Linked DNA regions of Elephas maximus indicus. The protein of the gene in region 3 interacts with the protein of the main gene of each other region in a pairwise test. Links are inferred from orthologs where the notes say so. Each region holds a gene or a part of one and is shown on either strand. Other genes may lie near its edges.

Region 1 (3,751 bases), on a different chromosome or scaffold from region 3:
CTCTCATGCTCTTGAGCTCATCAGCCTGGCGGCCCAGCTCCTGCTGACCACGCTCCTGCTGACCCATGCTGGCCTGCAGCTGGGCCTCAAGCTGGGCAACGCTGGCACTCAAGCAATCCTGGCAGTGTAGCAGGTACTCAATGGTGAGCTGCGCCAGGCGCAGTACCTTGAGCAGCACTGGGTCCACAGGCTGTCCGCAGCGGCTGCACGTCTCCCCGTCCAAGTTGCAAAAGGTGACGCCAGCGATGTTCTCCTGCAGGGTGGCCACGTCCAGCTCCCGCACCACTCGTTCCACATCCAGGGCGCTGATGCGCCTCCAGTCCACGCTGTCATGGCGCAGCTGGAACTTGAAGGCAGGGAATGTGTAGGCCCCAAAGAGCGGGCTGCTGAGGCCCTCAGTAGTGGCTGCAGAGGACTGCATGGGAGGGAGAAGCCTGGGGCTGACCACCGAAGAAGGGTGCCACCAAGGCCACGGCAGCAGGCCAATGACCTGAGAGAGGGCCTAGAAAATTAGAAGTGAGTCCAAGTTGGTCAAGGTGCATGTGGTTACATGCACCACACACCTGGCTAGTAAGAGCCTAAGCAGGGTGAGGTGACGTGTCTACCTAGCGACTGTGGTTTGTGTGATATGAGCTAATGTGGCCAGAGCTGTGGAAAGAAAGGGTGTGGTCTTTGCAGTCACACAGATATGGATTCAATTCCTTAGCCTTCAGCAAGTCCCTCCATATCTTAAAGCCTCCTGTGTAAACTGGGGACTACAGGGCCCATTTTGTAAGGTTGTGGTTAGGAACGAGGCATTTGAAGTACCCAGCCCAGAGCCTGGCACATAGTAGGTCCCCAGTGAATCCCCCTCCCCCAGACTCACCTCTACTGCCTAAGTGCCTGTCAGAGGTCTCGGTCAGGGAAAGAGCTGTCAAATGTATGAATTGGTCCTTCTGCAGCCTACATTTACCTCAGGATAAAGTACAGCAACTTAACACGGGTGCAGAGCCACCAAATGACCACCACACTGTGTCCTCTCTTTCTCCTGTAATTACAGGGTCATTGACCTCGTGAAAGAGAAAGGCCTTGAAGAAATGGTAGGGCTGGGTATGCAACAAGGGAAGGCCCTCCAGGAAAGGCACCTCACGGGACCTCACTGGCTTCATCCGTAAAAGGTAGCAATAATGCCTGTCCTGCCTACCTCACAGGACAGGATCGGAGAAGATGTGAGGGGAAAGCACTCAGTAATAATACTGGCCCTGTGGAGGGAAGAAGTGTGCTGTCTCATTAGGGAGAGAGCAATTAGGAGTGTATAGCAAGGTGTATATAAATTTTTGTATGAGAGACTGACTTGATTTGTAAACTTTCACTTAAAGCACAATAAAAATTAATTAAAAAAAGAATAATAATACTGGCCCCTATGCAGGGAGTACCAGCCTCTGTGCTAGATACAAATACCACCTACCAACCCACAAACAAGTATCATTATTGTTTATAAACAATGAAACTGATGTCTTAGAGAAGTTAAACTGTAGGTAGGGAGGCCAGAGCTGAAGTACAATTGCAGGTGTTTCTAGCTCCAAAACTTGTGGATGTTGAACCACCCAACACTGACTCTTGGGGTTATTTGTTCTAAAATTTCTCGTCCCTCAAAACTCCAATTCATTGATTTGCCAATTTAAAAAATATATATATATATCTTTTTTTTTTTTATCTTCATTTACAGAACGCCTACGTGTGTCAGCCCTAGTGCCCGGTGCTGGGTTACCAACATGTATTAACCACATCTCAAGAGCTCCTCACAGCTGCTTGTTTTCCACAGTACCAAGTCCAAACCCTGGTCTTCAAGACCACCCACTGAATGCTGCCCACTCGCCTTTTCAGTTTTAGCTCCCATCTTTCCCTTCTCAGACACTCTTCCCCAATAAGTGCTCCAGAAACAAAACTATCCAGCTGCAAGTACCCCTACCATGACCATCAAGAGAAAGACAAGCACACTTCTACTTAACATGCAGGGTTACGAAAAAAAAAAAAAAAAGGGTAGGCGACACAATACTCACCATGCTCAGCTCCAAGCTACCTGAGCCTCAGAGACAATTGCTCACAACAAGCCGTGCCTCGGAGCAACAGCAGGTTACCAGGCATGCTGTGAGCAAGGGTAACAGGATACCTGCTTCCTGACCTCCCACAGACTGTGAGCTCACCCGAGAACTACTTGTTTAACTATTTAAGCTTTGGCTTCAGATGTTTGCCAACAGCCCTCTCTCTAATAACAACACAGAGAACTCTCCATCAACTCTCTCTCTGCTTTCCTCCTACCTCTTTGAATTCTCCTCCCAGCCTCTTCCATCCTTCCTAGTGCCCCCTTGATACTCTGCTGTTCACCCACAACCCATTTCTCCCTGCACACTCTTCCTGGGGATGAGTTCACACATGGCTGCAGCTTCAGCTACCCATAACCCTTCTTCAAGCTGAGCCTCAGACTCTCCCAAATCTCTTTCTGGGCATTTATTTCTTGAGGCCTCTAGACCCAGCCCTCCCATACTGATTATACCAGGAAATGTGGCTCAAGTGCCACAGGGGCCAAGAATGCATGAGTATAATTTTTCATAAAATAAATAAATGCCTGAAATGGGCCAAGAATAAGAGAAGCCATAGTACAAGCTTGATGATAAATGGCAACTGATTCCCCATCTTGGAGTCCAAAATATAATAAATCAGTGGTTCTCAAAGTGTGGTCCCTGGACGAGCAACATCAGTATCACCTGGAAACTTGTTAGAAATGCAGGTCCTTTGGTCTCAACCTAGGCCAACTGACTCAAAACCACTGCAGTAGGGAGTGTTGGGGATTGTGACAACCTGAAGAGTACAGGTCTTCTTTAAAAAAGGCAGTCACCATTGTGCTTCAGCCATATGGGAATGGATTTTATGTGTTCCACATGGGCTTGAAATTCTTTAAGAAGACATTCAAAGACATCTATGAACTGTTCCAAACTACCTTTCTAGCTACATCTCCACTTACGATATTACTGTCCATACTTTCATACCTCTGGGCTGTTTATTTTATTTATATTTATTTATTATATTTTATATAATATATAACATATTTATTGTATTTTTAAGTGCTTTACAAAGAATAGCTCATGTACTCCTCAGAATACCTGCCATGGATTGAATTGTGTCCCCCAAAAATATCTGTCAACTTGGCTAGGTCATCATTCCCAGTATTGTACGATTGTCTACCATTTTGTCATTGAAGTGATTGTAGATCCTACCACTGTGATGCAATGAGATGAATTAGTGGCAGTCATATTAATGAGAACTACAAGATTAGATAGTATCTTAAGCCAATCTCTTTTGAGATATAAAAGAGAGTAGCGAAGAGACAGACCTGGGGACCTAATACCACCAAGAAAGCAGCGCCCAGAGCACAGCACATCATTTGGACCTAAGGTTCCTGTGCAGAGAAGCTCCTAGACGAAGGCAAGATTGATGACAGGGACCTTCCTCCAGAGTTGGAGAGAGAAGGCCTTCCCCTGGAGCTAACTCCCTGAATTTGGACTTGTAGCCTACTAGACTATGAGAGAATAAATTTCTCTTTGTTAAAGCCATCCACTTGCAGTATTTCTGTTACAGCAGCACTAGATGACCAAGACAATACCTGTTGAGGTAGGTACTATTATTATCTAAACTAAAGAGAAAAAAAAATCTTTCCCAAGGTCCAGAAAGCAGGAATCAAGCCTAGGCAGCCTGGCTCCAGAGACTGGGC
Region 2 (3,751 bases), on a different chromosome or scaffold from region 3:
TTGTGCTACCAAGGCTCCTCCGTAAAGATTACAATCTAGGAAACCCTAGGAGACAGTTCTCTCTGTCATTTTGTAGAGTCACTACGAGTGGAAATTGACTGGGAGGCAACTAACAAGTGCTCATAAAACAACTCCCTAAAGTCCTTGTCTTCCTTTCCTCACCTGTAAAATAGATGTAACAGGTGTTGGAGGGGTCACCACACCTACCTTGCAAAGTTGCTAGGGGCGTTAAGCATTTAGCTTCATTTTCCCAGGATCCCTACACTAACCTTTATCTTTCTCCTTATGACCATAAAACTTCCCCGACGAGAGTCTAAAATGCCCGAATTGTGAGTCATTGGTGGACTGCACCCATCGGTTCCTCCAGCGCTCTGTGGGGGGAAACAACACCGGTGAGGGCTGAAAACTATTAGTTTGTGTCATTGGGAGGGTGAGGGGGCGCTCGAGGCCTCGAAACATCGAGGCTCCGCCACCCTCAACCCCGCAACAAGGGGCCTGGGGCCAACGGCGACACGGCCGTCCGTTGGGCAGCGAAGTGGGGGGTCCTCACGCCCTCGCCAGCGGACGTGGCCCCTTTCACCTCCGTCTAGAAACTCCTCCTGGAAGTAAACGGTGGCCAGCGCCACCCGCAGCAAGCAAACCACCCACAGCTGGACCTCAGCCGCCGCCATGGAGGCCAGGTGGCGCCTCTACGACTGCTCCTCGCTCCCAGTAGCCTCCTCGCAGCTTGCCGGCCCGTCCCAAAACTACAACTCCCGGCAGGCCCCGTGATTATGACCCGGCCTCCTATTGGTCCCCTGCGCGCGGTGCACGCCGGGCCTACCCCAGACCTACTACTCCCATGACGCCCCGCGATTGTGACTGGCTATGCCATTAGTCTCCGCAGCGCAGTGCATGCCGAGAGTTGTAGTCTAGTCTCTTCCTCCCCAGTGCTGTTGCCCGGGCAACGGTCCCCTCCGGCCTGGGTGCCAGGCCTGAGCGCGGCGGCGGCCACCGCGGATGGACAGCGTGGGAGGAGGTCGGAGGGGCCGGTGGGCGGCAGCTGGGCGAGGGGCGCTCCAGCTCGGGAGATGACTGGGAGGAAATGGGGGCACTCTTCAAAGCTGGGATTGGGGGCGACGGAGAGAGCGAACCTCAGTTTCTCTGCCTGGGCCCCACTCAGGAGCGTGGTCCGGTGCAGGTGGCACCCAGGGTCTGGGGGAAGAGCCGGGATGGTGTGAGCAGCGGCAGTGTTTTCAAAGTTTGGTTTATTTATTTTGACAACTCTGGTGGCGTAGTGGTTAAGAGCTATCGCTACAAACCAAAAGGTTGGCGGTTCAAATCCACCAGGCGCTCCTTGGAAACTCTGTGGGGCAATTCTACTCTGTCCTGTAGGGTTGCTATGAGTTGGAATTGACTCGACGGCAACGGGTTTGGTTTTTTGGTTTCATTGAGGTTAGTGGTGTCACTAGGAGGGCACTGTTAGAGAGGGTGACTTTAAAATGACCCCAGGGTCCGAGGCGGTGGGCACACGGATGCAGCTGGGGCAGGGGCCGTCAACGCGGTGGCGTCACTAGGGCTGGATTCACCTGTCACCCAGTGCGGTAACTCGTCACTCCCCCCTTCACCCGCCAGTTAAGGTATCAGCAGCTGGGTCTTGGTACCTGCCATAGGGCGAAAAGGAGAGTTTGGCCCACGGGAAAGGGGAGGAGCTGTGGGGACAGGCCGAGCCTGGCTGCTCCTCCAACCAGGGGGGGTTTCGCGGCCAGCCCCGCCCACTCCGGCCGGGGGTCGGGTAGGGGTGTGTGACACCGTGAGGTACCACACTGGGCGATACCAACACAAGTGATGCCGCAGATTGAGGTATCATTTACATAAGAATTACTCATTTTAAATGTACCTGTATCAGTTGCATAGAATCACTTCCTACTCCTGTGGACCCCATGCTGTATCAGTGTTGAACCGTGCTCCATAGGGTTCCCCCCCCATAGGGTTTTAAGTGGCTGAGGTTTCAAAAGTAGATCGCCAGACCTTTCCTCCAAGGTGCCTCTGAGTGGACCTCCAGCCTTTCAGTTCGCGGGCGAGCGTGTTCACTGTTTGCACCACCCAGGGACTCCTTTTAAATGTACAATTCCATTATTTTTAGTAAATTTACCAAGTTTAGCAGCCACCACCCCTCTCCAGCTTTAGAACATTTCCATCACCCAAAGAACATCCTTCCCACCCCTAGTCCCAGGCAACTACCAATTTACTTTCTGTCTCTATGAATTGGCCTGTTGTGGACATTTCAAACAAGTGGAATCATAACCTATGTGGCATTTTGCATCTGGTTTCATTCCCTGTACCATGATGTGTTTGAGATTTATCCATGTTGTTATATCTGTATTTGTTCTTCTTTATGGCTGTATAGTATTCCATTGTATGGCTAGACCACAATTTGTTTATCCATGTGTCAGTTTGTGAACATTTGGGTTATTTCCACTTTTTGTATATTACAAATGATAGCTGTCATGAATATTTGCATATGAGTCTTTGTGTGGATATATTTTCAGTTTTCTTGGGTATATGCCTAGGACTGGAATTGCTGGGTCATATGGTAGTTCTGTGTTCAGCTTTTTGAAGAACTGCCAGATGGTTTTCCCTCGTTCCTTTTTAAAAAATATTTTATTGTGTTTCTGGTGAAAGTTTACACAGCAAATTAGGTCCCCGTTTAACAATTTCTATACACACTGTTAAGTGACGGTTACGTTTTTCACCATGTGTCAACATTCTCATTATTTCCATTCTGGTTGTTCTGTTGCCATTAATCTAGCTTCCCTGTTCCCTGCCCCCTCCCACCACCACCCTTACCTTCTCATCTTTGCCTTAGGGTAAATGTTGACTGTTTAGTCTAATATAGATGATTCCCTTGTTCCTTTTTAATGGATGTATAGTCGTCCACTGTCTGGATGGGTCTCCTGGACCTCACCAGTTCTCTAGGGATGGATTTAGGCTTTCGGTGAACACAAACAATGCTGCCATGAGTTTCCTTGAACATACGTCTTCATTCTCCCCCACGCTTTTTTAATTGTGGTGAAAATATTTACACTAAAACATATACCATCTCAACAACTTCGACATGTGCAAGTCAGTGATATTAATTATATTCTTCAAATTGTGTACCCATTCTTGCTATCCTTTTCCAAATTATTCCACCACCGTTAACATAAACTCACTGCCCCCTAAGCAGAAACACTCCTTTCCCTGCTCTCCCGCCCCCTGACAACCACTGATAGTCTTTGGTTTCTATATATTTGCTTGTTTCACGTAAGTGAGATCATACGGCATTCCTCCTTTTGTGACTGATTTATTTCACTCAGCATGATGTTTTCAAGGTTTGTCCATGTTGTAGCGCACATCAGGATTTCGTTTCTCTATATGGCTGAGGACTATTCCATTGTGTGCATATACCATATTGTGTTTATCCATTTATCTGTCAGTGGACACATTTTGGTTGTTTCCACCTTTTGGCTGTTGTGAAAATGCTGCAGTGAATGTTGGTGGAGAGGTTTCTGTTTGCGTTCTTGCTTTCACTTCTAGGTAGATACCTGGGTTTGGGATTGCTGGGTCGTATGATAGTTCTATGTTCAGTTTTTTGAGGAACTGCCAAACCATTTCCCACAGCAGGTGCACCATTTTACATTCCCACCAGCAATGGATGAGGGCTCTAGTTTCTCTACCACCTCACCAACACCAGCTGTTTTCCTTTTTTTTTTTAAATCACTGCCATTCT
Region 3 (3,751 bases):
GACTGACTTGATTTGTAAACGTTCACTTGAAGCTCAATAAAAGTTAATAAAAAAAAAAATATATCCAGAATGTTTTCTTGTCCTGTATTTTTCCCTCTTGCTGAACATATTGCCTAGATTGTAAAAATTACCTCCACCATGTACAAACAACAACAACTTATAAAGAATGGAGGTGGTCCCTGGGTGGTGCAAATCGTTTACACTCAACTACTAACCCAAAGGTTGGCAGTTTGAACCCACCCAGAGGCATCACAGAAGAAAGGCCTGGAGATCTACTTCCGTAAAGATAACAGCCAACAAAATCCTGTGGACCTCAGCTCTACGCTGTAATGTGATGGCAATGAGATTGGTTCTTTGGTTTATAGGAAGAATGGGAGTCCCAGAGTGCTCCAAACAAGTAATAAGCTCAACTACTCACCAAAACGTCGGCAGTTCAAGTCTACCCAGAGCCACCTTGGAAGAAAGACCTGGCAATCTAATTCCCAAAAATCAGCCACTGAAAACTTTATCGAGCACAGTTCTATTCTGACACACATAGGGTCACCATGAGTCAGAGTCGACCCCAAAGAATGCTAAAGGTTTTCTTTCTAATCATGTACTTCTCCTGAAAATTCTTAAGAAAAAACTTTAGGAAAATAAAAATAATATGGAATGCCCACTGGCAATCGAGCCTCCTCGTACACATCCCTGGACAGAGCTTTCAGATCGTTACCTCTGCATTTGACTCCTCCACCCTACATTTCAGCCCCTCTGGCTGCCCGTCCATAGTCTTCAAACAGGGCCTTAAGTGACTCTGGAGAAGTAAGTCTGACCCTTTGTGACATAGCAGCAGTAGGAATCCAATCAGGACCCCACCAAGGAAACAGCAGGAGGAAATCTGGGTATTCCAAGCCTGTCAGGACTTTACCAATTCATTGACCTCTGCCTGAATCCCTATCATAAAAGCATGCCAGTCTCCCCTAAGCCCTCTGTCTTTGGTACATAAAAACCAGTTGCCATTGAGTTGGTTCCAACTCATGCAGACCCTACGTGTGTCAGAGTAGAAACATGCTCCGTGGTGTTTCCAATGGCTGATTTTTTGGAAGTAGATTGCCAGACTTTTCTTCTAAGGTGCCTCTGTATGCATTAGAACGTTCAACTTTGCAGTTAACAGCCGAGCACTTAACCATTTTCACCACCCAGGGACTCCTCTTTGATACATTGGTGTTGCTATGTGCTGTCAAATCAACTGATTGATAGTGACCCTCTAGGACACGGTAGAACAGCCCCATCTGGTTCACTAGGCTGTAATCTTTACAGGAGCAGATACCAGATCTTTTCTTCTGTGGAACTGCTGGTGGGTTTAGACCACTGACCTTCCTGTTAGCAGCCGAGCACTTAACCATCGTACCACCAGAGCTCCTTCTTTGATACATAAAAAGAAGTAAAAATTTTTTATTATTTTTTTTACTTCTTTGGGCTTAATTCTCTTGACACCTCCAAATAGTCTTGTATCCCTTGGTCTGTATACTAGGCCTTCTAATGGATTTGCTTGCATACTTTTGATTGCAAGACCTAGTCCTATTTCTGCCCCCAGAAATCCAGACTGGTTGCACAACGGCTAGTGCCAAAAGATCTCATTTTGAGAAGGTCAGGTTTTTTCAGAGAATTGTAGAGACTTGATATGTTAGAACTGGAAAGTCTTAGGGAATGATCTAGCCCAACCCCTTCAAGTGAGGGAAGAGAAATCCAAGTCCCAGAGTAGCAAAGTTGCCTCTCCCAGACATATAGCTGGTCGGCAACCAACCCGGAACTGGAATCTGAGGCCCTGCCTCCTCTACTTGTTCCGAGACGTCATGCTAGAGTTTGGAAAGAGGAGGATTAGTCTGACTAATGTGGCGGTTACACCCTTCTGTCATAATCCCTACCTGAAGTAGAACCACACTGATTGGAATTTCTACGTTTTCAGATCTGGTATCTCTGTTCCTTGTAAAATTTGGCCAGGAATTCTGTGGAAAAGAGAAAATAAGATTTCTGCTTCCCAGCTCATTCTCTGGGCCTCAGTTGGGCACTGGAAAAACAACACTTCGTACTTCTTTATTCCCCTCTGGGCCATCATGGACATTATGAAAACCCAAGTCTAAAAGAATGTGTGGATGATATCTGGTAAGATGTTCATCAGTCTCTGAACAGAAATTAAGACAGATGTTTTAGCTGATGTGAAAGCCTTCTGGGTGTCTTTGAAGCAGAGACAGTCATACCTACATCCTTGTCTAAGATTATTATTTCTATCTCAAGTAAAAAAGGCATACCAGTGTGAGGTGCCAGGTATAGGTCTGCTGCAGAAGTTGGTCATCCAAACACTCAGAACATTCCAGAGGTGACATCACAAAACCATATGGTGTTCTTCAGGGCTCATGGTTTCTCTCTGAGCATTGCAGGAGGTAATAAGGCATCAGAAGGCCAGGAAGAGCTTGCCCCTGGCTGTGTCCACATACCTGGCCAGGTCAGTGTGACACACAATAGCCCAAACAGCAGCCCCTGTTTGGTCATCCCAGCTGCCATTCACATCCCCACTGCAAGGCTGGGCTGAGACTGCTTCCCTCTCTCTAGACATGGCATCTTCTGCTTGGAGTTGGACCACTGAAGAAGGAAGGAACCCAAACTGAACTCTGCCCAGGCCAAAGGAGGAAATGTAGAAACTGCATCAAGATCACAAGGCTGACATCTGAGCTTTGTGAGGGGAGCAGCCCAGCCCCTCTCGACAAAATTTTCCAATTCGCCTTCACCTTTTTGTGCCTCTGTGCCTAAGACATGTCTCTTGTAGACAGCATATGTTGTTCTTGTTGTTATTAGGTACTGCCGAGTCAGTTCTGACTCACAACAGCCCTATGTACAACAGAATGAAACACTGCCCCGTCCTGCGCCATCCTCACAATTCTTATGCTTGAGCCCATTTTTGCAGCCACTGTGTCTTCCTCTTTTTCGCTGACCCTCTACTTTACTACACATGATGTCCTTCTCCAGGGACTGGTCCCCTCCCAATAACATGTCTAAAGTATGTGAGGTGAAGTCTTGCTATTCTCGCTTCTAAGGAGCATTGTGGCTGTACTTCTTCCAAGACAGATTTGTTCATTCTTTTGGCAGTCCATGGTATATTCAATATTCTTTGCCAACACCGTATAGATGAGTCTTTTTTTTTTTAACCCAATCTGCCACTCTCAGCCTCTTGACTCACGTGTTTAATCCATTTACATTCACAGTAATTATAGATAAAGGAGGACTTAACTTCTGCCATTTTGTTACTAGTTTTCTGTGTGATTTAGCCCATTTTTGTTCCCCTTTCCCTCCAGTGCTGACTTATTTTGTATATAGATTTTTGGTGTGTATGTGCTGAGCCATTTATTGACTCAGAAGCAATGGGTTTGGGTTTGGTTTTATTCTGTATATAATTTTTTATTTACTTTCTCTGTGGTTACCATGAGAATTTGGTCTTAATTCTATCAGAGGCTGCTCATGGGGACATTCGTTCTGGTTATTGATGTAACTTAAGCCTCTGATTAACCAGAGAGCCCCAATTCCCTATTAGTATGCCATATGCAGGGAAGAAAATGGCGGGCCAGGGTCAGCAGGTCCAGGGACACCTTAGCTGCCATTCAGAGTCTCCCACGCCCAAGTTACAAGTTACACCCTGCTTTAAGAAACCCGATGTACAAAAATTGGAAAATATAGCTACTCAAAAATCAAGAAGGCCATTAATTGCATTTTCAAA

What was found.
Region 1: the proteins of CBY2 (region 3) and DZIP1L interact in binary tests that used the Homo sapiens proteins (3 or more experiments, as listed by UniProt). The two-hybrid records come from large-scale screens. The link is inferred for Elephas maximus indicus from reciprocal best matches to the Homo sapiens genes CBY2 and DZIP1L.
Region 2: the proteins of CBY2 (region 3) and C3H19orf44 interact in binary tests that used the Homo sapiens proteins (3 or more experiments, as listed by UniProt). The two-hybrid records come from large-scale screens. The link is inferred for Elephas maximus indicus from reciprocal best matches to the Homo sapiens genes CBY2 and C19orf44.

What each region holds. Positions count from the first base shown.
Region 1 is NC_064844.1:39,517,314-39,521,064, reverse strand, and holds the start of DZIP1L (cilium assembly protein DZIP1L), read right to left. Parts: upstream 2,733-3,751; 5' UTR 2,046-2,732; coding exon 2,043-2,045; intron 503-2,042; coding exon 1-502. UniProt on the Homo sapiens protein: Involved in primary cilium formation. Probably acts as a transition zone protein required for localization of PKD1/PC1 and PKD2/PC2 to the ciliary membrane.
Region 2 is NC_064821.1:36,721,296-36,725,046, forward strand, and holds the start of C3H19orf44 (uncharacterized protein C19orf44 homolog), read left to right. Parts: upstream 1-915; 5' UTR 916-1,018; intron 1,019-3,751. Other genes in the region: CALR3 (calreticulin-3), read right to left, coding at 270-371, 581-671.
Region 3 is NC_064832.1:34,356,919-34,360,669, forward strand, and holds the start of CBY2 (protein chibby homolog 2), read right to left. Parts: upstream 2,367-3,751; coding exon 2,292-2,366; intron 1,989-2,291; coding exon 1,908-1,988; intron 1-1,907.